Linked DNA regions of Oryzias latipes. The protein of the gene in region 3 binds, or shares a complex with, the protein of the main gene of each other region. Links are inferred from orthologs where the notes say so. Each region holds a gene or a part of one and is shown on either strand. Other genes may lie near its edges.

Evidence for each region.
Region 1: the proteins of ncapg (region 3) and ncaph are in contact, whole or in part, in a crystal structure (PDB 6IGX), measured with the Homo sapiens proteins. The link is inferred for Oryzias latipes from reciprocal best matches to the Homo sapiens genes NCAPG and NCAPH. Residues at the interface, in NP_071741.2 of Homo sapiens: Lys11, Phe14, Arg15, Gln18, His50, Tyr51, Lys53, Tyr54, Val55, Met56, Val57, Glu62, Ala64, Val65, Val68, Phe102, Ser106, Glu108, Ala109, Asn110, Ser111, Val114, Arg115, Ile149, Arg150, Lys152, Asp153, Lys154, Arg159, Glu188; in NP_056156.2 of Homo sapiens: Glu471, Ile472, Asp473, Phe474, Glu475, Asp476, Asp477, Ile478, Phe480, Val482, Tyr483, Phe484, Arg485, Lys486, Thr487, Ala489, Ala490, Thr491, Ile492, Leu493, Gln501, Asn502, Trp503, Ala505, Thr506, Thr507, Leu508, Phe512, Tyr514, Val516.
Region 2: ncapg (region 3) and smc4 share a complex: the UniProt entries of both Homo sapiens proteins name them as parts of the condensin complex. The link is inferred for Oryzias latipes from reciprocal best matches to the Homo sapiens genes NCAPG and SMC4.

Annotation. Positions count from the first base shown.
Region 1 is NC_019867.2:25,819,710-25,827,698, forward strand, and holds the start of ncaph (condensin complex subunit 2), read right to left. Parts: upstream 4,786-7,989; 5' UTR 4,637-4,785; intron 3,857-4,636; 5' UTR 3,852-3,856; coding exon 3,634-3,851; intron 3,536-3,633; coding exon 3,445-3,535; intron 3,316-3,444; coding exon 3,223-3,315; intron 3,000-3,222; coding exon 2,882-2,999; intron 2,309-2,881; coding exon 2,166-2,308; intron 1,975-2,165; coding exon 1,785-1,974; intron 1,627-1,784; coding exon 1,544-1,626; intron 60-1,543; coding exon 1-59. UniProt on the Homo sapiens protein: Regulatory subunit of the condensin complex, a complex required for conversion of interphase chromatin into mitotic-like condense chromosomes.
Region 2 is NC_019871.2:13,488,099-13,496,164, forward strand, and holds the start of smc4 (structural maintenance of chromosomes protein 4), read left to right. Parts: upstream 1-3,281; 5' UTR 3,282-3,325; intron 3,326-3,403; 5' UTR 3,404-3,460; intron 3,461-4,604; 5' UTR 4,605-4,614; coding exon 4,615-4,756; intron 4,757-4,777; exon of another isoform or gene 4,778-4,940; coding exon of another isoform or gene 4,941-5,010; intron 5,011-5,686; coding exon 5,687-5,877; intron 5,878-7,202; coding exon 7,203-7,394; intron 7,395-8,066. Other genes in the region: ift80 (intraflagellar transport protein 80 homolog), read right to left, coding at 1,758-1,979, 2,384-2,420. UniProt on the Homo sapiens protein: Central component of the condensin complex, a complex required for conversion of interphase chromatin into mitotic-like condense chromosomes.
Region 3 is NC_019859.2:13,388,462-13,395,487, forward strand, and holds the end of ncapg (condensin complex subunit 3), read right to left. Parts: intron 5,543-7,026; coding exon 5,377-5,542; intron 5,290-5,376; coding exon 5,122-5,289; intron 3,850-5,121; coding exon 3,726-3,849; intron 3,633-3,725; coding exon 3,585-3,632; intron 3,464-3,584; coding exon 3,394-3,463; intron 3,310-3,393; coding exon 3,183-3,309; 3' UTR 3,065-3,182; downstream 1-3,064. Other genes in the region: lcorl (ligand-dependent nuclear receptor corepressor-like protein), read left to right, coding at 1-603, 683-690. UniProt on the Homo sapiens protein: Regulatory subunit of the condensin complex, a complex required for conversion of interphase chromatin into mitotic-like condense chromosomes.

The DNA of each region.
Region 1 (7,989 bases), on a different chromosome or scaffold from region 3:
GCGTTCACATCAAACACGTGTTCGCCTTCTTTCATCTTTTCCAGCAGCTGATTCATGGTCTGAAAGAGGAGAAGTAATTAAAGGGGGGGGAGGGGGGTGTTATTGTCTCTATTGCCGATTTTAAGTAAATTGGAGAGCGCTTTGTAACAGAAGAAACACAGCTGACTGGTAATTACTTAAGAGAAAAATGAAGAACTTGAAGAGAAAATGAAGATGGCTAATGCAAAGGAAACTAAAATAAACTAGGAAACACGTTCAGAGGGTTGGAGACTACAAATCAGAAACAATCATCTAATAAATTACTGTATAGCTCTAAGGTGACATGCAGAGCAGCATCATCTCAGTCACAAAAAAAAACTACCATCAGCATTCATTTAAAAATTTAACAAAACAGAGCAATGTTGAGTTTAAACACCAATATAGGTTAACAGAGCTTTTTCCATGGTATATTTTATACTGTCCTAAAATGTGAAAAGTCTAGAACAGGGGTGCCAAACTCATTTTGGTTTGGGGGCCACATTCAGCCCATCTGATCTCAAGTGGGCCGGACCAGTAACATAAAAGCAAAATAACAGCTTTGTTTTAGTTTTTTACTCAGTTGGAAAAAATGCCTCAATCAACATAGTAGCCTAATCACTTGGATCTCAAATAAAATTAATTTCAATTAAAGAAAAGTTGGTCTATTTAAATTAATAGACTGAATATTTTACATCTGACACTGAAGCAATCCAGAAACTTTTCTTTATGGTGAGTCCCTTAGTGGTGCTGAATGTCATATTCTTTGAGCACTGCGATGTTGATGACATATAAAGCATTTGGGGTTTGCATTCAGCTTCGTGAAAGAAAGAAAAAACTCTGTCCATTTTTCCTGGAAGGCTCTTCACTCCACTTCACCTTTGACAACATTTTGGTCGTTAGGGTGTCGCTAATGATCATCCTTATAGCAAGATAACAGCGGTAAGGCTCATAGGGAACCAAGGTGCATCCTACCCAGACGCAGAGCTGTTATGTTTCGCTTTTGGCACGTGCAGAGATATGCTGTTTCAACTGTTTTTCCTTTCCTTTGCTCCCCCTAGTGGTGGAATTGCACATTTCGGTTATTTCTTTAAAAAAAATCATAACTCGCCACAGGAATGGACTAAAAACTTGCTTCCTTTTTTTTAATCATCCTTATGATTTTTTACTCTTCATGTGTGGGCCGGACTAAACCACCAGGCGGGCCGGATAAGGCCTGCGGGCCGTATGTTTGACACCCCTGTTCAGGCTCCATACATGAGCTTCATTTCTATCAAGAATATCAGAGGAAAGTTGTGTTTGCACAATTGTCTTAAGGTTCTGTCTGTATTATTGAGAGCAATATAAATAAAAGACTGGCTAAACTGCATTTGTTCTGAAAAATTCAGTTAACTGTAATAATACTAAGGCAATATATAAAAAACAACAAAAACTGGAATAATTAAACCCAATTAAATAATATAACCCAATTAAAATTATGATTAATAGTTTTAGATTAATACATTTTTGGGTTATAAACAATTTTGACCTGCTCAGGGTTCCAACTGGTAAAGGAAAAGTCTTGTAATGACGGACAGATGGAGCTTTTCTCTTGAGACCGTTGCAGTCCAGCTGCCAGAAACATGAAAAAGAAAAATGAACGTTTTAAAAAGAGAGAGTCAATAACTGGCATCCAGGTAGAAATAAAGCAAACATAAAGGGAAAAATAAACAAATTTTAGTATTTGGCATAAAAGCACCACATCCTTCCGTCTGAAAAATGAGATTTACCCATGAACGGGGATGCTGGTGTGCTCTGTGGAGCTGGAGGAGAGTATGATGGTGTGGACTGCAGCAGAATCAGGTGAGAGGGAAAGAGCAGCTCACAGCGACTGTTCTCGCTGAATAAAACTGACAAGAAGACACCTGCTGTGCTGGTCTCATCAAAGGATGAGGCCATCCGCTGAAACATGGGGTCCACCTGGATGTGCAACAACAACGGTGATCTTATTTAAGAAGTACAACAACAGAACAGAGTTATACAGGAAAAAGATGAACTCAAAAGACAACCATAACAAAAACTTGTTTCTGTAACAACCAGATGATATTTGATGCCAACAACAAGTCTAACATATTTGAAAACGGTATGGAAGGGAAGGCGTCTCACCATACCTCACACTTCCTCTCAGATTCAGAACTGTTGATGTTGTTCAGGTTCTGCTCCACCGTCTTCTTCGGAGGCCTTTTCTTCTTTGGTTGCTTTGCAGTCACCTCCTCCCCATCGTCATCCTCATTCCCTGCTTCTGCAGCACGAGCTGCAGTTTCATGGTGTGACAAAACCAGATAATGCTCACTCTTTGCATTTTTGGACAAAAGCAATGAGAAGTGAAACATTTAGCCATAATTTTATTAGAAGAAGAAAAAAACCTTAGTGAAAAAAGATTTATTTGGAAAATGATGCAGCTAGGGCTGCACGATATGAGCAAAACAGGCGACATTAGTGATCAATATTGCGATAACGATATAATTTGCGGTATATGAACAAAGAGCAAAACAATCAAAAACATCATTACTATTTCATTGCAACGGTTTAAAAAAATTATACTCCAAATGACCCTCGTTGACGTAGGAGGCAAAAATCTCACACAAAAGGGCTCATGTGATTGGTCAACATCGGAAAGGGTCCATCCAATTGGTCAAATGCATAAATGGATTTATTTGATCCGTTAAATGCTTCAAGCTGCCATAGGATTGTTTTAGCACATTTAAGGTAACCATTTATTGCGATTTTTGCGATATGGATATTGCACCGCTTGATATTGCGATAACGATAAATTTGCGGTATATTGTGCAGGCCTAGATGCAGCACAGTGTGCTGCAGATCTCACCCTCTCCTGGTTTGGTCTCACCCCCGAGACCCCCCAGCACTCTGTATGCATCGGCATGAACAGCATCCACCCTCACAGCATAGATCTTTGTACTGGCATCTAAAGTGCCAGCAGCCACCTTTGCAAAAAACAAAATGTCAATAATGGAGCACAAGAAGGCATATTCTGGAGTCCACATTAAAATCATACCAAAGGCTGTTCTTTAACTTTAAATGGGTAAAAAAATAACAAGTGATGTCATGATTCTTGTATGATACAAGTCTATGTTTAATACATTAAGTACAGGGACAGACTGTGGTGATTTCTTTTTAAAGGCAAAAAAGTAATTGGATTACACAAACCTTAAAGTTAGTGAGCTCAGAATCCTTCTGCTTTAAAATATCCGCCATGTAATCAATCAAATGCAGACCAAAAGCATTTTTGGTGGTGATTTTCTGGGGGAAAAAACAAACAAAATAGAAAAAAGGATATTTATTTTACCGCTTCCATTAATCAGATATTGACTTCCTAAAATGCCTGATAAAGTTTAAGTGTTTGCATATGAACACTACCCAAAAACTTACATTCTCAGTAGAAAGTTTTATGCAGGTTGAATAGTGCTCTGAAATTTGAGCATTTGAAAGCTTCGGTACAGCAGCAGGAGTCCCGAAAGCACTGATTTAGAAAACAAAAATATGAGCATCCCGAATTTAACAAACCTTAACAGCACTCAGGCGGATGATAATGTACACAGGTACGAGTTAACAGCTTACCTGTGAGATGCAGTCTCAGTGAAGGAAGAATCTGTGGCGGATTGAAGGTCAATGACCCTTGACCTCCTGCGCTGGCGCCGCTCCTGCTCATCGTCGTTGCCTGGAAAGGCTGACAGCAGCGGGGTGCTGCAGGCCGCAGGAGACAGACCCTTGCCTTGCAGAGAAGATGACGGCCATCCTGGACGCACTCGGGATGCAGGTGTGGAGGCTGCACTCATCTTAGCTACAGATGCAGAAAACGTTTTTAATCAAACAAAAACATGTTTGGAATGAGTTAAAAACTGAGAAGTGAATTTTAAAGCAAATGTTAAAAGAGAGAAAAAAGAAATACTCTAGTGATCTGTTTTCATACTTTTTTTGGACTGATTTACTTTTTATTGGTGAATGTTAAAAACTACACGAGGAATTGGAAAAAATAAATGTAAGATTACAAATGACGTGATGATTTGCATGGTAAGAAACATATTGCACAATAGTTGACATTTATTTTGGGGGGAAAGCAGCAAACTTTATTTTGAAAAGTCAAAATAAAAGGATGTCAACCTTTAAAAACTTTATTTAGATTTACCTAATCAGATAGAGATCCATTTCCCTAAATATTTTTTAAGCTATGCTGTTTGAAAATTATAGGAAAATATTACTGAATACAGTATTTACAAATGTTTAGTAACGTCCTCTCCAAGAAAGAACGATGTAAACAGAGGGATACTCGCGTGGTCAAATTGTTTTTTTGACAAATAAATTAAATATTTCATCGTTCTTTAGTTGAATGACTGAGTGCACAAAAGGATGTTTCCGTGTAGTTTTGACTAAAACATTGTAGTTACACTGAAAATCCCCTTTTGTAGAAGTAGAATGAAGTGTTTTGGCAAAGCGATGTACACGCTAACGTAGCATGGGCTAACTGTACAGTCAAAATAGCTAAACTTTTAGCCTCGGTGTGTGCGTCTTCTTCATTAATGTCAGACAGACAAAACACAAACATTGATAGGAGAAGACTTACGTGATTCCACCAACTCGTGTAAAAATATCGCTGTCCCGGTGCGGAGCTTTAATGGTAGATTTTTCGTTAATGGAAACAAAGCCAGACGCAGCCTTCTTTCCTGCTCTGTTTGAATTTTTGCGCCGAACGGTTTACGTTTCCAAGCTCAACGTCATCACGCAAGGCCACGCCCACGAGCGTGGGCTTTGAATTGGTTCTGTCAAGACTTTACTTCATGTAAAAAAAAAAAAAAAAAAAAAAAATAAGACTTTACTTCATGTAAACATGAAGAAAAAATTATTTTTTCACGACAGCATTTTAGTATCCTTTATCTTTTTTTTCTTTTGCAAAAAAGTATACAGTTTGCACAGTTACATTGCAAATTTTATCAAGTTTCTCTTAGAACAGAGTTTTTTAAGGTAGGAATAATACAACATTTTGATAGTGTATCTTTAAAGTGGAGTAAATATTGAATTAGATAAAACCCTCATCGGTCTTTAAGATGAAAAGAAACTATTGAGGCAAGAGGCGACAGTCAAACAATGTGACTGGTCACTAGATGGCACTAAAAGTAAACCTTAAATACCAAAAGACCATACTACAGCAGTTCTATGTCAACATTGTAAATATTGTGTGAACTCAGTTTGCAGATAGACCTTATTTTTACTTCTCGGGTTAGGTTCAGCAATCATACTAACTATAAATCTAAGGTGGCCAAAAAAATAAAAAGAAGAAAGAAAGAAATGATTCAGTAACTTCTGAAACTAAAAATATAAAATATTGCAAGTCTTCACAAGAAAGTGCAGCTTAATTGGAGGTGTATTCCCACACTCATGTTTTTTTTTTCATTCCGGCGCTATTATTTACATTTACCATTTTTTTCTTCAATTCTGACTATCAACAAAGCACAGCAAGAACCCAGAGAGCAGAGATTTACGTCATCTCTTTGTCCCAAAGTGTTGAAGCCCTTGAGAGAGTAGATAAGACATGTGAATTAAACAGACATGACTGTGACTCCTCTGTGGAGCATTCCTCTGTGTAATGCTCGCGTATTCTAGGCACCAAAGGGAAATATTAGAAATTTCAAATTTACAGCCAAGTAACACCCAAGCAGAGAATCATCCTTGGTTCCTGCTGTGCGTCGAGATGTCGTAAAGGCAAAGCTCGTTGATTGGGTTTCTGCTCTTGAGAGAGACACTTTAGTGTGATGTATGGCTATGGCATTTAGGCTTAAATTGTCGCACATAGATATGCATGAATGTACATATGCACAAGTCTTCATAAAGCCTTGCCAAGCAAATAAAACCCATTTGACCTTTTAGTAAATGCTTTAAAGATAGTTGCATACAAAAAGGACATTTGACTGATTCTCACTGTTGCTGCTAATGAGGACATTTTCAAGTCCCAGTTTTGCTCCTTTATTTATCACAATAATTATTTTTATTTGATAAGAAATAATAAAGCCATGTATAATGCAATAGCTGAATATTAGCTACGATTGACTATAATAGTACAGTTTAAGCAAGTCTTAAACTAGTTGTGTGCAAAGAAGGGATGCTTAATTATGTTGTATCAAAGTTTTTTTTCTGCAGAGATGAGGAAGAGGTGGCATTCATGTCGTGGGAGATGATATATGCAGTGAACTGCTCCAATGCTTTTAATGAAATTACAGAGCACAGAAAAGTGTGTGGACAGGGTTATTGAGCAGACTACAGCAGCAGGCCATAATCAAGTGCTGGGTTGGGTGATACTTAGGTATGCTTGGCATAGAACATGGTTCAAGGTCGGGGCTGTCACTGTGAATAAGGCTGTAAAAGTCAAGAGCAAAAGTTAAAAACATTAGGTTTTCTGGATAAGATGTCTTAAATGTCCACAGCTTTTAATCCTATTACAATTAATGTTTCCAACCTCCTGACAGTAAAAGGACCTTAGGCACCTTTGGGTTGTTTAGTGATCACACAGATTATCTAACATCAGTGTTTTTGAAATTTACTTATTTGTGACAGGAACATTCAGGATGATGTGACCAAAAAATCTAAAAACAGGTTTTAATTGAGGACCTCTCTTAGGAGCAGGAAGAAAAACAGGAGTAGTGTGTTTATACTAGGTCATGTGTACATTCTCTATTTACACTTGCAGACCTAATGCTCTTCGTTATGAGATAAATGTCTGTGTGTGTTTTCATAAACATTTTACTTCCTGCCTCGTGCAGGAGCCTTTAGTCTCTGGCTAGACTATTTGACGCTAAAGCCAGCAGTTCTTAAAGAACCCCACTAACCCTTTAGTCCAGGGGTCGGGAACCTTTTTGGCCGAGAGAGCCACAAACGCCACATATTTTTCAATGTAATTTCGAAAGAGCCATACAATATTGTAGTGTCCCTTTCCCACACTGAGACTTAACCTCTTTTAAGGTTCTTTATTCTGGTTACTACAGACCGCAACAAACGCCGTACAATTAGTTCATCAACTCCTGAATCTCTCCCGCCGACACGAGAGCACTCCTCCCAACTCCCCCCCCCCCCCCTCCCGCTCCAGCCCTCCTATTTCCCTTATTCGCCCATAGCTGAACCCCATTGGTCCAAACTACCTGAGAACAGGCTGAGCGACAGAACTGAGAGCCAATCAGATCTCTGCATGATGTGTTCAATGAACAGAATTTATAATCCGGCCCAACAGCCAAGTTAAACTCAGTCCGCGACAATATTGTAACGATCCGGCCGGACCGTCACTTTAGTGGGGTAGCGAAAGCCAACTGCTCATGAAGTGGTTCTAATGGAGAGCTGTCCGTGCCCCATACACCGCACGACTCCGGACAGTCTCAGGTTGGAAGATACATAGAGAGAGGCAATATTAGCTTTTAAGCAACAAGCCTGTTTATTCCAGCACACATACAGCCCAAACAGCATGGAGGGTCACTTCAGCTTCCAGCCCTCTGACTCAAGGTTTCACCCTAAGCTCCCCACTTCCCATGAGCCTTAGGGGCTGAAGGCCCCCAGGTCGCTACAATATGTTTTAAACTAAATATACAAGTGAATGAGTGCATTTGATGTAATTTCAACATTTTTAAAGTACAATAGGTCTGTGGATTCTTTTTAATAACATTGTTATGCTGTTGCTAATAAATGAGTATTTCTCGTGGTAGTTCTGCTGATGGTCTAGTTTGGTTGATACGTGGTGAGTTTCTGCTTCATGCAGGCGTTGAGACTCTAAACGTGATCTTAGGTCTGAATGTTCTGTAGATGTGAGACAGACTGATCACATGCAGACGGGGAGCCAAACACACACTCACACGCTGCAGTGAGTGACGGGCAGCGGGCTTTACGTTTTTACAATCCCTGCGCGATTCACCTGCTGCCGGTCCCCACAACCCCCCC
Region 2 (8,066 bases), on a different chromosome or scaffold from region 3:
AAATGTGTCAGGGCTCACAGTAGTTCAAAAAATGATTGTCATGCATTTCCCTTCTCATATTTCATGTAGTATTTATGGCAACAGCTATTTGTCTAGCTTGTGTAAACTATACTAAAGAAAGCAAGAGAAAGAAAGTTGCAAAAGGGAATCGCAACGAGTCTCTGGCATGCCAAAGTAAATTGCTGCATCCGTTTTGCAATTCAACACTGCCATTAGAGTTGTGACCACATATTGCCTACCACAGCAGTCCAATCATGCTCTTATGTGTTCATATCTACCGTAACATGCATGACACACCTTGGCACTGTCTGGATTGTTGCCTTTAGTGACAAACCAAGTCATCCAAAGGCAAATGAAACAGTATGGTATCCTCAAACTAAGGAATACAGAAATTAACCATTGTGTATTTACCCAAAAAGTATGAAAATTACTATCATTTGCTCAAAGTAGGCAACATCAAAACATCTATGTTGCATCATGAATGACACTACACTAATTTTTGCACTAGTTGCGCTGGAAACAATTTATTAAGTAATGAGTGCAACTGCGGATTCTCACATCTTTATAAAAGTTGAAATGTTGAAATAAATGACTTCTATGGGGTTCCTGAGGAAAACTGTTGGTAAGAAGACAACTGACTGCTACTAATTATATAGTTGGTAACATTTTTAGGGACATAATCTAACAAAGCCCTACGACAACCTGTCCAGGATGTCCCCTGTCTTGGCCCACGAGTGGCCAGGATAGGCTCCAGCAGCCACATGACCCAGAAAGGGACAAAGCAGATTTAGAAGATGAATGAGTGAGTGAATGAATGAATGAATGAATGAATGAATGAATGAATGAATGAATGAATGAATGAATGAATGAATGAATGATCTAACAAAAAGAGCATCTAGGAGAGGCAGGGCTCACGAACCAGTAGAACTGGGATTAAAAACAATCTGAATTTCAGAATATCCTTGCAATAAAGTTATTAAGTATTTGAATATCTCATCATCCAGCAAACACAAAATCATTTCTGTAAAAAAGATAAAAATAAGATAATGATTGCTAGATGCCCGGGATCTTTGGGTTCATTGGTCGAATTACAGAACAGGTATGATTCATGAAGGAACAAATGTAAAAACCGATATATAGGAACATATGCTGTCAAAAAATGAAAAGGGAAAACTGTTCACAGCAGTTTGGGTTTCAAAAGCAACATTTTTTCGTGTAGACAAATTATTATTTACACCTGACGAATTCAAATTCAACATCCATAATGATGGAAGCAGCAGAGATTTCTGCAAAAAAAAAAAGTTCACGTCTCTAAAAAAATTATATTTCAGGCAGAGCAACTTTTTCTTCTACCCACAAAACTTCTTTAGCATAAAAAGTCTTGCATCTTTCAGGAACATAATTCTAATCAACATGCAGTTTCGTCATAAAAGCATGGGCACTGAAAAAAAACATTTTTTGGTTTTGGCCAATCATCATTGAAACGCATCTGGCACATTGCGAAACGGCAAATGGAATTTTTATGCAGTGAAGTCCAAGTTTAATATCAGATAAAAATGCATTTTATTTTCATGGATTGAAGTTTAAAAAAAAGAGTCACAGCATGGCTGGTTACTTAAAACTTTTTACTATCCTGCAGTATTTTGTAAAATAAATAAATATATTTAAAAACGGCTGATTGAGTCTTTCACAACTTGATATGGACATACTGTTCATTTGCTTTTTAAGATGCAGAGTGGGTTTTATAAAATACTTGCCATCAGTGCTGGTGAGGACAAAGATTTCAGCTTGGGTTTGTCTCTTCCCACCAACAGTTTTGGGGAACCAGTGCATGTCCAGGGGGTAGATGTCCTCTGACAGCTTGACGACCACATTGGTTTCATTGTTCACCAGGTTCCACTTGAGGATCTGATGATCATCACTGCATGAGTACAGCTCATCGGCTGTGGTCCAACCTAAACAACTTACAAGATCCTTATGTGAGCTGGTGTTAAGAAAAATAATAAAAAAAAGGACAAATATTACAAATTCAGCTGATTGCATGTTTTCTACATAGATACCTAGAATCTGGAGAACCTGCCCCCAACCCCTTTATTTATTTTATTTTTTGTTTGTTTTGTTTTGTCTTCATTTTTTTCAGTAGAAAATGCAAATGACAAGGTTTATCATTGCTGCAGTGGTTCTTATCAGCAGAAATTTATTTTAGTTTGCAGAAATGTAGGACAGAAAATAATTTAAAAACAATCTTAAATTGAAGAACAGCAATAATACTATTAAAACGGGAACGTGAAATGTCACAGTTTTCAAAATATTTTGCCATTCAGCTCAAATCAAAGGCAATAAGTTATAAAACAAGAGGGATCACGATGCAATTAAAGGATATGTTTTGGTTCCTTCTGCAGCGTAGTTTTTAGTCTCATTGTTCTTGTCTCTCTGTTGAATCCTAAACAAACAAAACACACGTATGTCAGTTTTGAATCAACTCTTAAGTCAAGCTTAACATTAGAGGAAAATCCAACAAAGAGAGAAAATGCACCAACACCAAACAAGCGTCTAGTTGCTATGTTACCAGGCAGCCACTGTAGCTAACTAACTAAAATCATTACCTTTTAAAATCGCACGGGGGGCATTCTGATGACCGCACTTCTTTTATGTGCCTCTTATCAATGTGTGAAAGTCATTTGATATAGTTCGAATATTCGATACAAATGAACCAGGTCAAGCAGCGTTGATGAAGAAGCGTTTTGTTTTCATGACGTATGGAAGCTAACTTTTTAGCCATGAAATCTCGGATGAGTGAACGGTTGACAGCCAAGTCATCGCGAGAGTTGTAACAATTTGCAACCTCAGCGTGTACTTATAGAGGGTTTACTTTTTGAGTGACTAATACAAATTCATTCAGAAAATGATCTTTAAAGTAGGCTTGCGTTATTACTGAATAATGTGTTGATGATCTCGGTCACTTCCAAAAAATAATATAAACGTTTCCATGGGGCGGGACTTTATTTTACAGTAACCGAATGATTCGACAGTACTGAAAACACAACTCTTTTCTTAAAAGATATCCTTACTCAAAAAATGAAAATCGTAAGTGATGTCTTTTTATGAAATTGTCATTTATCGCTTTGTTACTGTTGCGCCTTTCTTATCACTGGTGGAGCGAGGCGGAGTTGGCTTCGTCCCCTTTTTTGAATTTTGTGTTTTTTTCACACTACCATTTGAAAGGTCCATGATGCTTTGCGAGAGTTTATAACGAATTTGGTTCGACGGCGCAGTTTAGGCGCCATTTACAAGACAAGTTTTTCGAGAAAGGAAGCGGCTCCGGGTGATACGGCACACGATTTTGTGGACTATTTTAGTGTATTTTTTGCTAGACCTTGGATTAACCTATTCTTCTTGAAAGGTTTGGACTGGATCGAAACAGAAAATCAGCGAAGGACTTTTTTTTCATTTGTGGAAGGTACATGAAGAAAAAATAGAAAAAAAATATTTACTGGGTTCCGTCTATTTGCTGAAATTCATAGCGGTCGTTGAAATTGAGACAAACCTTTAAGTAAGCCACAAATCCAACTATGTTTTAAAATAAAGTAAAAGGAAAAAATATAGCATTGGCAGGACATTGATAGTGTTACTACTACTTATTGACTTTTTTTTAGCGTTTTTTAATAATTGCAACAATAATGGATTCTTAACTTAAGCCCCTATAGCATTACTGTTTATATGTTTATTACAACCTATACCAGTTAAAGGTGGTAATATGTCGGTCTGCTCTGTGATGCTAAGTTTGACATAATGATTAGTTAGCACCCCCCCTCCCCCCTGCTAACCTAACTATTAGCCGAGGGAAAAAAAATCGTAGTAACTTTTAATGCGACATAGTCATCCGGTAACAAAACGATTACGAAAACATTCTTAAATCATGCTGCATGTACTGTAGGTTTGGTTAGTTATTCGAATACATTAACAAATCGCGTTAGATGGCCAACTTCAAATTATCATTCCGCCCTGAACATTAGAATTCAGGGACTGAAAGCTAGTTTGCAAGTTCGACTGTTATCTGTTGAGCTGCGCTTTCAGTAGTGGTCATCATAGAAAACTAGCAATTCAAGGCTCGACACGAATTTCTCTCCCTCTTTTTCTTTCTTTCTTTTTTTTTTTTTCAAATGGGTGACGTAAACTTTATTTTCCTTTTCGTTGTTACCCACCGTTAAACGTTAACGGTTAAGGCCAAAAAGCATTTTTCCAAAGTTTTGTAGTTGGCTAGTTTGTAACATTTTTTTACGGGGATTTGTTTTAAAAGCTAACCTTTTTTTGATCCTAGTAGTGTTAAGATGAATAAAAATCGCTGTAACACACTTTTCCATGTTTTTGTTTTTAGCAACTATTTAAACTTTTGGAAGGAAAAAACAAATAATAAACACAATGGTATATTATTAGGAAGGGCGGCAGTAAGATTTGACTGGTAATGGCAAACTCCTGACACATTAGTTGTGTGTGACTGACCGTAAAGTGGAGTTGAGAGATTGACAGACACAAAAACCACTCATGTGTCCCCCCCCCCCCCCCCATTTATTTTTTTATTTTTTTACCAATGACCCCTTTAGATTTCAAATCATGCCATCCAAAACCGCAAAGAGCTCAACCGCCTCTACCAAGCCAAGAGGAAAAGGGTCGCAGGATGTGTCTGAGGGTGATCTGGATGTACCCCCTCAAGAAACTAACTCCAATGGCCAAGAGGAGGCACCACCGACAACTGGCAAGTAACAAAGGCTGTTTTGGTGTCTGTGAATCTAAATAAGTTGTTCAGTCAATGGCTCTGCGTGTATTGCAGTATTGCTAGAGGCCAACTGGCACAGCTGTAAAGCTCCTTCCCCTCCTCTATCTTAAATTGAAAAGAGTAGCTGGGATGGCTGAGACGTTTTCTAAAGTGCAACATAGAAATGAAATCACTCCAGGATGATTTTCATATCGTCGAATGCATTTCTTCGCCCGATCTTGACGGCAAACGAGGTAATTTGCTTCGAAATGGTGTGTTTTTGTTGTGACGTAAAAACGGGATTTGTATTCATCATGCCTGCAACTTTTTTTTTTTTTTTTTGAACAGCGCGTGTGCTGCTCTCAAGATGCAATTGTTGAAGTTCATTGGTACATGAATCTGTTTAATAATTTTTTTTCCGCTAAATGTCTAGCTGCTATACTTTATTTTTGAAACACCGTCAATTCTTTTGTATATATGAGAACACAAAAGATTTTGAACCGATTCTTGAAGATCGTTGTAGATCTTCATGCAGAAAAGTTTTTCCTGTCTGTATTTCATTTAGCTGGGTGTAGTAACGACGTCGCTGATATAAACGCACTTCATTTATCCTGGAGGTGTCCGTGGCGCATCAAACCGGAGAGAGACTGCGTTTGTGAGCACTGATGTGTGCTCGTTCATGTCCGATCCGAGGCTTGACTCTTGCTTTCTGAACAAAGGGGGAAAAAAACGACGCCTGTCAACTTTCCCCGGAGTCGCTTGTCTGTCTGTGCGACTTGCCGACTGTGTTTTTGTTTGTTTGTTTTTGTTCTCCCCCCACCCCTCCCCCATGGGCCACTGTCCCGTCCCTATTACCCCCCCCCCCCCCCCACTCCCCACCTGAAGCGATTCGCACAGAAAAACTGAAAAGTGCCCTTTTCTGTGCCACAGATTCGGCAGAAGGGGAGGCTGCCGAGGCGGTCGATAATCGAAGTTTGGAGGAGATTCTCGGTAGCATCCCTCCACCCCCGCCCCCAGCAATGACCAATGAGCCGGGCGCTCCCCGCCTGATGATAACACATTTAGTGAACCGCAACTTTAAGTCGTACGCAGGCGAGCAGATTCTGGGGCCTTTTCACAAGGTACGACCAAAACTTGATTCTAATCTACCATGTGTCCTGAATATATTTAACTATGTACTTAGATTACATTTAGTGCAGTGACGTGCGGTGAGGTTAATGGCTGGTGAGGCACTGACGTCATCAGTCAGATTTACAAACATATGAACCATACTGATTAATTTATTCTCCATTTGATTGACAACAGTTAAGGTGTTTTGTTTAAAATATCATTTCAACATGTTTTTTTTCATATACAAAACGCAGCATAGAAAAAAGCACAAACATTATTATCGTCTTACCTTTACTTGTAACTAAAGTCCATACGCCGCTCTTTCGGAAGAAAATGACTTGCCGCTTGCTATCACTTATTCTATTATTTTTTTAGCGTCATAATCTCAAGGCTCACCGGCGCCCCCTAACGTGAGGCACGGGAACTTCTGGCCTCACCCAGCGGCTTTTTCGCCGGCGTTTAGCGCTCAGCACAAGAAACACGTCCCTCACATACAGTTATTTATAAAAACAAACACTGTACATCATATACATCTGCTAAATTATGCAAACTCAGCTCATACAGTACAAGTGATTGAACCGACATACAGAGAGACAGCAGTACCGTCTGACTGCATAGGTATTGCGCAATCCAAGGTGAGGCTCAGCGGGCTGGTGCCTCATCGCACGTCACTTCTTAGTATCTGAACGGCAAATGCGGAAATTCAGCGATTTTGAAAAGAAAAAACACCCAAAATTGGTACATTTAAATGGAAAATGACTGCAAAGCACAAATTACTGATTAAATATAATAGTTGAATTTATTTTTTCTCTTTTCTTCCCATGACAGGTGAGGCACAGCCTCACCTGCCTCTCCTGACTGCACGTCACTGATTTAGTGTAACTGTTACTATCCAAGTCTTATTCATTTGATACTATTTTTTTTCTTGTCTGAAATCTTAGGTCACCTTTCTAATAAATGTGTCTTATTGAAATCTATAAAAAAATAAGATTATTAGTAAAAATGTTTAGAGAGAAAAATCCTTAAAAAAAGAGGAAGAAGTCACACTCCTCCATTTTGATTTAGTGTTTCTCTCAGTTTCTGAAAATCTACTGGTGTAATCACATTTAATGAAACTTTTTAAATGTTTTTTTCTTTAAAAAAAATCTTTTTCAGTCGCCTCATGTCCATGCAAGTTTCATATTGCTAAATTTAAGTGTTTAAATCTATATTAGACTTGTGTGTGGTGTCATCGCTGTTACTGACAGCTGTTGTTGAATCTTAATCTCTTGTATGTTTCATATGGATGATGCATTCATTTTTATTTATTTATTTTTGTCTCCTAATTTCTTCCCAGCGCTTTTCCTGCATCATTGGTCCAAATGGAAGCGGCAAGTCTAATGTGATAGACTCCATGCTCTTTGTGTTTGGATACAGAGCTCAAAAGATAAGATCAAAAAAGCTTTCAGTGTTGATTCACAGCTCTGATAAACACAAAGATGTGCAAAGCTGTACTGTGGAGGTGCATTTTCAAAAGATCATTGATAAGGTATACAGATATTTATAAACACTTTTTTTTTTTACACACAAATACAAACTTCACTAAAATGATCAGTTTGTTGTTCAAACAAACAAAAAAAAAATCACCAGAAATATTTTAGTTGGGCAAAAATGAATTTTTAAAATGTATTTGTTCTTTGTCGTTTCTAATGCAGTAATATTGCTGCTCAATTCTTCTTCTAGTGACCAAGTGTAAACTTAAATCAGTTGTGAAAGTTACTGGAACTCCCACACGTGCCACATTTGAGTCATTTTGCCCTAAAATTGATCTGATGGCAATGAAGGGAAAGAGATAAACAAATGCATTTATTGCCTCTGCTTTTTTTCATGGTGGCAAAAAAAAAAAAAAAGCAGTAGTGTTTGCTTTAGGTAGGATGTAATAACAGGCTGCTGTAACCACCAACTGTGAGCTACATTTTCCCCCCAATTAGAAAATTTTTTATAAATTAAATTAGCCATAGGGACTGTGAATTTGATCACACTGCTGAAGCTAAAATGTTGTGTATTTTTTAATAAACATTGATTTGTCTTAAAATTGGCACAAACTGAGAAATCTGTCAGTTTTGTATTTACAATCATTCCTTAAAACTACAGGGTTTTTTCTTTCAGCGATGTGCACACGGCCTTAAATAAATAGCCTTTTTTCTTCTTTCAACTAAAC
Region 3 (7,026 bases):
GTGACAAGAGGAGGAACAGAACGGTAGCAAGAAGTTGTCCGAGAAGGTCTGGATTACAACCAGATTACAAAAGATTACATAGATCAGTAAAAGATGGGTCTTATGGTTGTTTTAGGATTGGTTCTGCCACCTGTTGTGTTGAGCAAACTCTAGAGCCTTTGGGCGAACGCAAAGAGCAGAAGCTCTGTTCCAAAGCCTGGAGTCCCGAGACCCTGAAGGAATGCCGGGTGTTTTTGAGGAAGATCAACTCTCCAAACAACGAGTCCGCCGAGGAGGGCTGGAACTCCTGCACTGTGACACTGGATGATGGGTCACCCTCTGCATACCTCTTTGCAGGAAAGGAGAGGGAACTGCGGGGAGTTGTTAAAGCTTCGAAAAGTCAAAGAAAAAGGAACACGATGAAGAAGACTGCCTCCAGAGAGCCATCAAGCCCTTTGCCCACATCTGTCCAGATGAAGGACTCTGCTCCAGCAGGGCGGCAAAAGGACAAACCCAAAAGTCACAATGCGTCTACTGATTTAGCACAGCTGCCACCAGCGAAAACGTTAAGACAATCGCGAATGAGGGGCCTGACCGGGCTGAAATGGCGCGACTTTGTGTTTGGTAACTACTTTCTCCTAATACTCATTTTTAGAATTTGAATTGAGTTGCACAATTAACTTATCTTCGTTTATCCCGACAGGAAAGTAAATGAAGTGGGAAAGCAGAAGGCCTCCGGTTTCTGAGACTAATTACCGTGGTGCCTTTGGACATTGAGCTGACCACACGGACTGGCCGACCCTCTACGGTTCAGTCTTACACTCAGCCATTATGTAGCAGTCTAACTTAAAAGCTTAATGTTGCACTACTTTTATCCATGGAAGTGTTTGTATTTTGTCGTTTTTTTTCCGGTAAAACCCACCTGTGTCTTTCAGAATGTGCAGACAATTACAGCTCGTTCCATCAAAGAGAATTTGAAAACGACTTTTTTTTTTTTTTTAGGTGATTGTGAGGAAAGACAAAACGTGACTGCATTAAGTGTGTCCCCCACCGACCGACCTTTTACAGAATTTGGCTCCTTTAAGTCAGCCCTGCTTTAAACTGTACACTTTTTATATTAATATAACTTTTACTTAAGCACTCTCTGAATTTACACATAACTCATTGTTTAAAAAAAATGTTTCACAAACTTTACTTTAATTTTGAATTTGAGCCCTTTAATATCTCTAACAAGAGAGCCAGATATTTTTCATGAAGGACTCGTTGAGGCTCCGGTTGTTTAACTGTGAGGTGAATGACAGACAAACCATAACTCCAAACTAAAAACCAAATAATATATGTTTTTAATTTAAGATTTAATATAAAAGTGTGTTCCCCCATTTTTTAGGTCTCAGTAGTCCACAAAATGCTCGAAATGCGTGTTGAATAATGAAGTGGCTTTCTGCGGTTTTAGAAAAATAGGTTCTGTTGTATTTGTCGGGTGTATTTCCTGTTAACCCCTAGCATTTACTGTATGTTGCAGACAGACGGACCTCTTGCACTATACCATTTGAGATTAATAATCCCACTACCCACCCCATCCCATGTTTTGCACATCCCATGCCCCAATACCGATCCCTTCTGTAACACAAACGTCTCTTTGGTGCAATAGAAAGCCAGATGATTGATCATTTTGTAAAAAATGATTTGATTGCTGACAGACGAATGGATGTACACAATGGCCTGGGATGTTACTGTACTTCTTTTTTTGTAATGAAGTCATTCTGGGTTTAAAAAAAAATCTGTTTTAAAAATCAGTTTTCTCATCCGCTTTTCTTTCCTTAAAAAAAAAAAACTAATTTTGATTGAAGCATTATTCTTTTTTTCGCATTATTAAAGTTTTATGTTCTGTTTTTTTTATACCCTGTACTGGGGCTTTGTTAGATCCACTGCTGTTGCTTATCAGTTGTGTCGTAGCTGAAGCCGGATATTTAACTAATTCAACGCTAATCTTGGATCTATATGCTACTTTTTTGCTCTGATAGATCCCAAATGTCTGGCTTGTGGGTCAAAACTTCCCCCGTAGTGAGTGTTGTGCCTGAATGTCCCTTTCTGTGCATCAATTATGGTTGCCATGTCATCATGAAAGACGTTTAACAGTTGACCTTTGTTGGAAGAACCTGGTGCTAATCATCTGTTGTAATATTCTCTTGGAGCATTTTTATACTACCCTTTACAGATGCAGCAAAGAGCTCTGTGACTTGATCAATAAAGGTGTTTTTTAAAGTAAAATGTGTCATTTCCTGTGCGACATTTAAGAGGAGGAAACCAGCCTCTCACTTCACTTCTTTGAACTTTATTGGGTCTGTAATTAGGATCAAACCAGTCTCTGTGCTTGTCTTATACAAATTGGTGGATCTAGTTTGTGGGTTTTTTTGCCTCTAAAAATATATTTCCAAACATAATTTAACATTAATTTCAGTTTCTATTTCGTAGCCCATTGAATAACTTACAAATACTTTGCAACGTATGATGTCTGGAATATTTTAACTATGCGTTTTTTTAAGTTCAGGTTGCTTGGTTGTTGTAGCATCAATTCAAATCCCAGCTGGGTTCTTTTTTGTGTGGAGTTTGCATGTTTTCCTTGTGCCTGTGTGGGCTTTCTCCTACAGTCTAAGATCATGCTTCATAGGATGATTATGGAATCTATGTTGTCCTTCGGTATGAATGTGGGTTTATGTCCCTGCGATGGACTGGCAAACCATCCAGGGTGTCTCAATTTTAACCCCACAGTGGCTGGGATAGGCTCCAGCAACCATGTGACCCCAACAGGGAAGTATAAAAATGAACGGATGTTTTGAATTCACATTGGAGAACTGATTGAAATGATTTACTGCTGTTCCGCTCTATTTACCTATGACTGAAATTTGATTCCTCCTCAACTTTCTAACTGAAATCTAGGCATCATGTACAGCTGACTTCAGAATACATTTAGTTTGTTTGAAATTCACTTTCTAGACTCTTGATGCTCATTCTAGATCAAATTTTTCTGGAAGTGGTGATTGATAAATGTTTCATCTGTTAGTCCACCATGAAACTAAAAAGATGGAGACAAAATTAAGTTTATTGTTGATAAAACCTCGAGCTGAAATTATGAAAAGATGCTGCAGAAAACACAGGAACAAGATTATCTGCCCAAAAAAAGAAAAAGCTTGAAAAGGGTTTCATGACACATTGGCCTCCTGATTGAGGAGGGGGTTGAGGTCGAGTTTGGTCTTCTCCATCGCGGCGCTCTTCGCCCTCCTTGATGGACGTGCTGTAGGGACGGACTCAGGAACGTTTTCTCCATCGCTGCAGCAAAAAACAAAGCAGCGAGTTCAGGCGTGGATGAAGGGAATCAAACACTTTTTTGAAGGTGAATACCTCTAAACCCACCTCTCTTCTGATGACTCGGCTTTCCTGCTCTGCTTTCTGCTGCCTTTGGCGGTGCAGACTTTCCTTTGACCTGTGCAGACAAACGCGCTCAGGTTACCTCCCCCTACTGAGTCAACATCTTCACGCAGGTAAACGAGATGAGCTCTAAAAATACGACGCTGCAGCAAAAAGCTGAGTGTCCAGGATGTTACCTCTTTTGACTCTCTTGGCAGATTTTGATGGATCGTCTGTTGTTGCTTCTGTGGAAAGGGACAATTCAGATTTCTGGATTTGCACCTTGGACTAAAGAAAACAACCATTTGTCCCAAATGATTTATGTAGGAGTTTCTCACCGTCTGCGTTGACATCCAGCGGTTGCAGTGCACTGGCGCTTAAGAGCTCAGCTTGCTCTTTGGAGTCAATCAGCTGATGCATCATCTTCTCCAGAGCACGCAGGCAAATGCGATCCTTCACCGTCTGACAGCGAGAGGAGGAAGAGCTTTAAGACATGAAACTGGCCCACCTCTGTCAGGACTCACCGCACCAGTTTAAGAAATGCAGCCGACAAGAGGAAAGCACAAAAATAAAAAATGCAGCTCACAATCATGAAGTAAAAAAAATCCCATTCTGCATTTACATGGATATTGAGAGGAAACGTCGTGGCTTGAAAGGTGAACAGGAAGATTCTACTCAAAGCTCGGGGCCTGTCGGGTCGCTGGAGTTACAGTGAAGCAGCTTAACTCTGAGCCAACTGGAACTTGTAGGGAGGCTAAATGGAAGAGTTACAGCAAAGGCGGTGAGGAGTGTGAACAAGGATGGTGGTAGGAGAGGCAACAGTGGGATTAGGATGACGATAAACTGTCAAAAACGACAGCCAGTCCTGCAAGAATGGAAAACTGAAGAGCTGTCAGTTATGAGGAACAAACTGTCCGTTTGGAAAACGTCCATCTGTCTTCAGAACCTGTCACGGGCTGCTGGAGCCCACCCAGCTATTGTTGGGCAAAGGCGGGATAGACCCTGAACAGAACGCCGGTCTGTTGCAGGGTCTCTCTCACACAAACACACACACACATCTAGGGGTCATTTAGAATAGGCATTTGATCTATGAAGCATGTTTTGGGATTCTGATAGGAAGCTGGAGTTCCTGAAGAAAACCAGCACATGTAGAGTGAGAACATGCAAACTCCCAGTGAGGATTCAAACCAGAGTGCTAACCACTGTGCAGCCCAGCTTGGAAAACATAAAGCTGTTAAATCCCTAAAAAAACAGTTTCTAAAATGTAGCCCAACAAGCTTTTTTATTTCAGACATTTAGAAGAAAAGTTGCGACCACACCAGACGTTTCTTCTGCAGCCACGAATGTTTGATCATGTGCTTTGGATTCTTTGTCAGGGTCAACTTTTGAAACCAAAACTATAAATTAGGGGTCCCAAAGTCTTGCAGTAATCACAATTAAATAATTGCAAATAATTGTGATAAATAAAATCCATTGCTGATGTGATGTAATCCAGTGTTTTTCAACCTTTTTTGAGCCACGGCACACTTTAACCCTGACAAAAATCCCGCGGCACACCAGCATCCAAAAAAAAAAGAAGCAGAAATTCATGGTCTGTATTGATCGACTGAGATTTGTTGCACCCCCAACAAAAATACCTCAAAATGAGGCTTTTTACGGAAATTGATTATAATTAATTACAGGTAATAATAATGAATCCTTCAAATATATGAATAGAAATACAGGTGTGTGTACCTGAACAAGCTGCTGCAGCAGCGTCAGCAGGTCCTCCCTCACAGTGCTGTCTCTGCTCAGCTCCAGGTTGCTTAGCGTCTTTGCATAAAGGCGAACCTCAGGGGCGGTTGGGTCCTTCAGCATCTCGCCACACAAGCGCACCGCCAGGTAGTCGTGGACGCAGACCTCCTGAAGACACGCGGCACCAAACATGACGAGTCACATGTGGGGGCCGTTAGCATCTGAGCAGACTCCATTGGGCGTCCCTGCATCTACCTCTGTGTTACTGGAGGGTTTGATGAGCGCACTTGGACGCGTCAGTTCAACCAGAAGCTCCACCACGTTGTTGATGTCCACCTCGGCGAGCGGAGAGGTGGCGGGGGCATTCAGGAGAGTCCGGACCGTCGGCAAGAAACACTCCTCTACGACCTCCTGGTGAACTCTTAAAGAAGAAAAAAAGAAAGAAACTTTCCGTCACATTTGATTTCAGTGTGAAGAAACGGCTTTGATCTGGAAGCACAAGTTCAGCCTGCTAGGACAGAAATCTGGGAAGATTTCATTTTTGCTACATTTTGGGAAACGTTGACTAGATTTTGCAATTGATCAAACATTAGGCCTGCACAATATACCGCAAATTTATCGTTATCGCAACATCAAGCTGTGCAATATGCATACCGCAAAAGATGGCGAAAATCGCAATAAATGTTTACCTTAAATGTGCTAAAAAACAATCTCATGGCAGCTTGAAATAGTGAACAAATGAAATAAATCCCTTTATGCATTTAACCAATCGTAAGGAGCCATTTACGTTGTTGATCAATCAGATGAGCCCTTTTATGTTTGATGTTTGCCTCCTACGTCGACAAGGGTCATTTGGAGTATAACTTTTAAACTGTTGCAGTGAAATGGAAATGATGTTTTTGGTTGTTTTGCCATTTGTTTATATACCGCAAATTATATCGTTATCGCAATATTAATCACCAATATCGCATATCGCGAGTTTTCCTCATGTCGTGCAGCACTATCAAACATTATTTTGTTCTCAGCATTTATTTATCCGTCTTTAATTCAGGTGCCAGAGCAAGGATCCTTGCAGCTTCTGGAAGCTGGCTCATGTTAAAGACCCACTCAAATGTAAATGGTGTTTTTGCCGTTTTTAACATGTTCTTGTGACATTTTTCTCCTGGTGGACAACATATAAGCACAAAACAGCAGACGAAAAAAAAATGCTGTTTGAAAAAGATCTTATTTGTTAGGTAGAAAATACCGTTGGCGGACCACAAGCTCCCTGCTCCATTCTCATACATCCCCTTAAGCGATGTACATATTTGTTACAATGGACATTTCTAATAAACTATTGCTGCTCTGCAGAATCTATGTCCTAGAAAACGACACAGGCTTTTTTCTTTAGTTTGGCTTAAACCAGTATGATGATGATTACAAGAGCATTGGGAACACTTTTACAACAGATCCAAAGATGATCGGAGTGAGTCTTTAAGCGAACTGAAGTGATCAAAGGACATTTTTCTGATAGTTCTGCCTTCTTTGAGCAAATGAAAGGGAGCTCTTTGTGGCTTGAGAACGGACTCCTATTCATTAGAAAAGAAACAAAACATGAACAGAGTTCTGCAGAGCATTAAGATCCGTTACAGGGTGCAGCATACGACTGTGGATGAGTGAAAGACACCCTGTGGATGTGGCAAATTGGAGCTTCTCCGTCAGCTTTCTCATTATTATATTAGGTTACAAAAAATGCCCTGAGATATGACGCAGAATGGGGCTAACTGAAAAAAATCGGGAAGTAAAACCTAAAAGTGAAAGGGATTTGTGGATGAAATAAAAGAAAAGAAAACTTAACAGTGTCAGGTGGGAACAGCTGATTTGACGTGGTGAACCCTGAAGGGAACAGCCTAAATGAACAGCTAT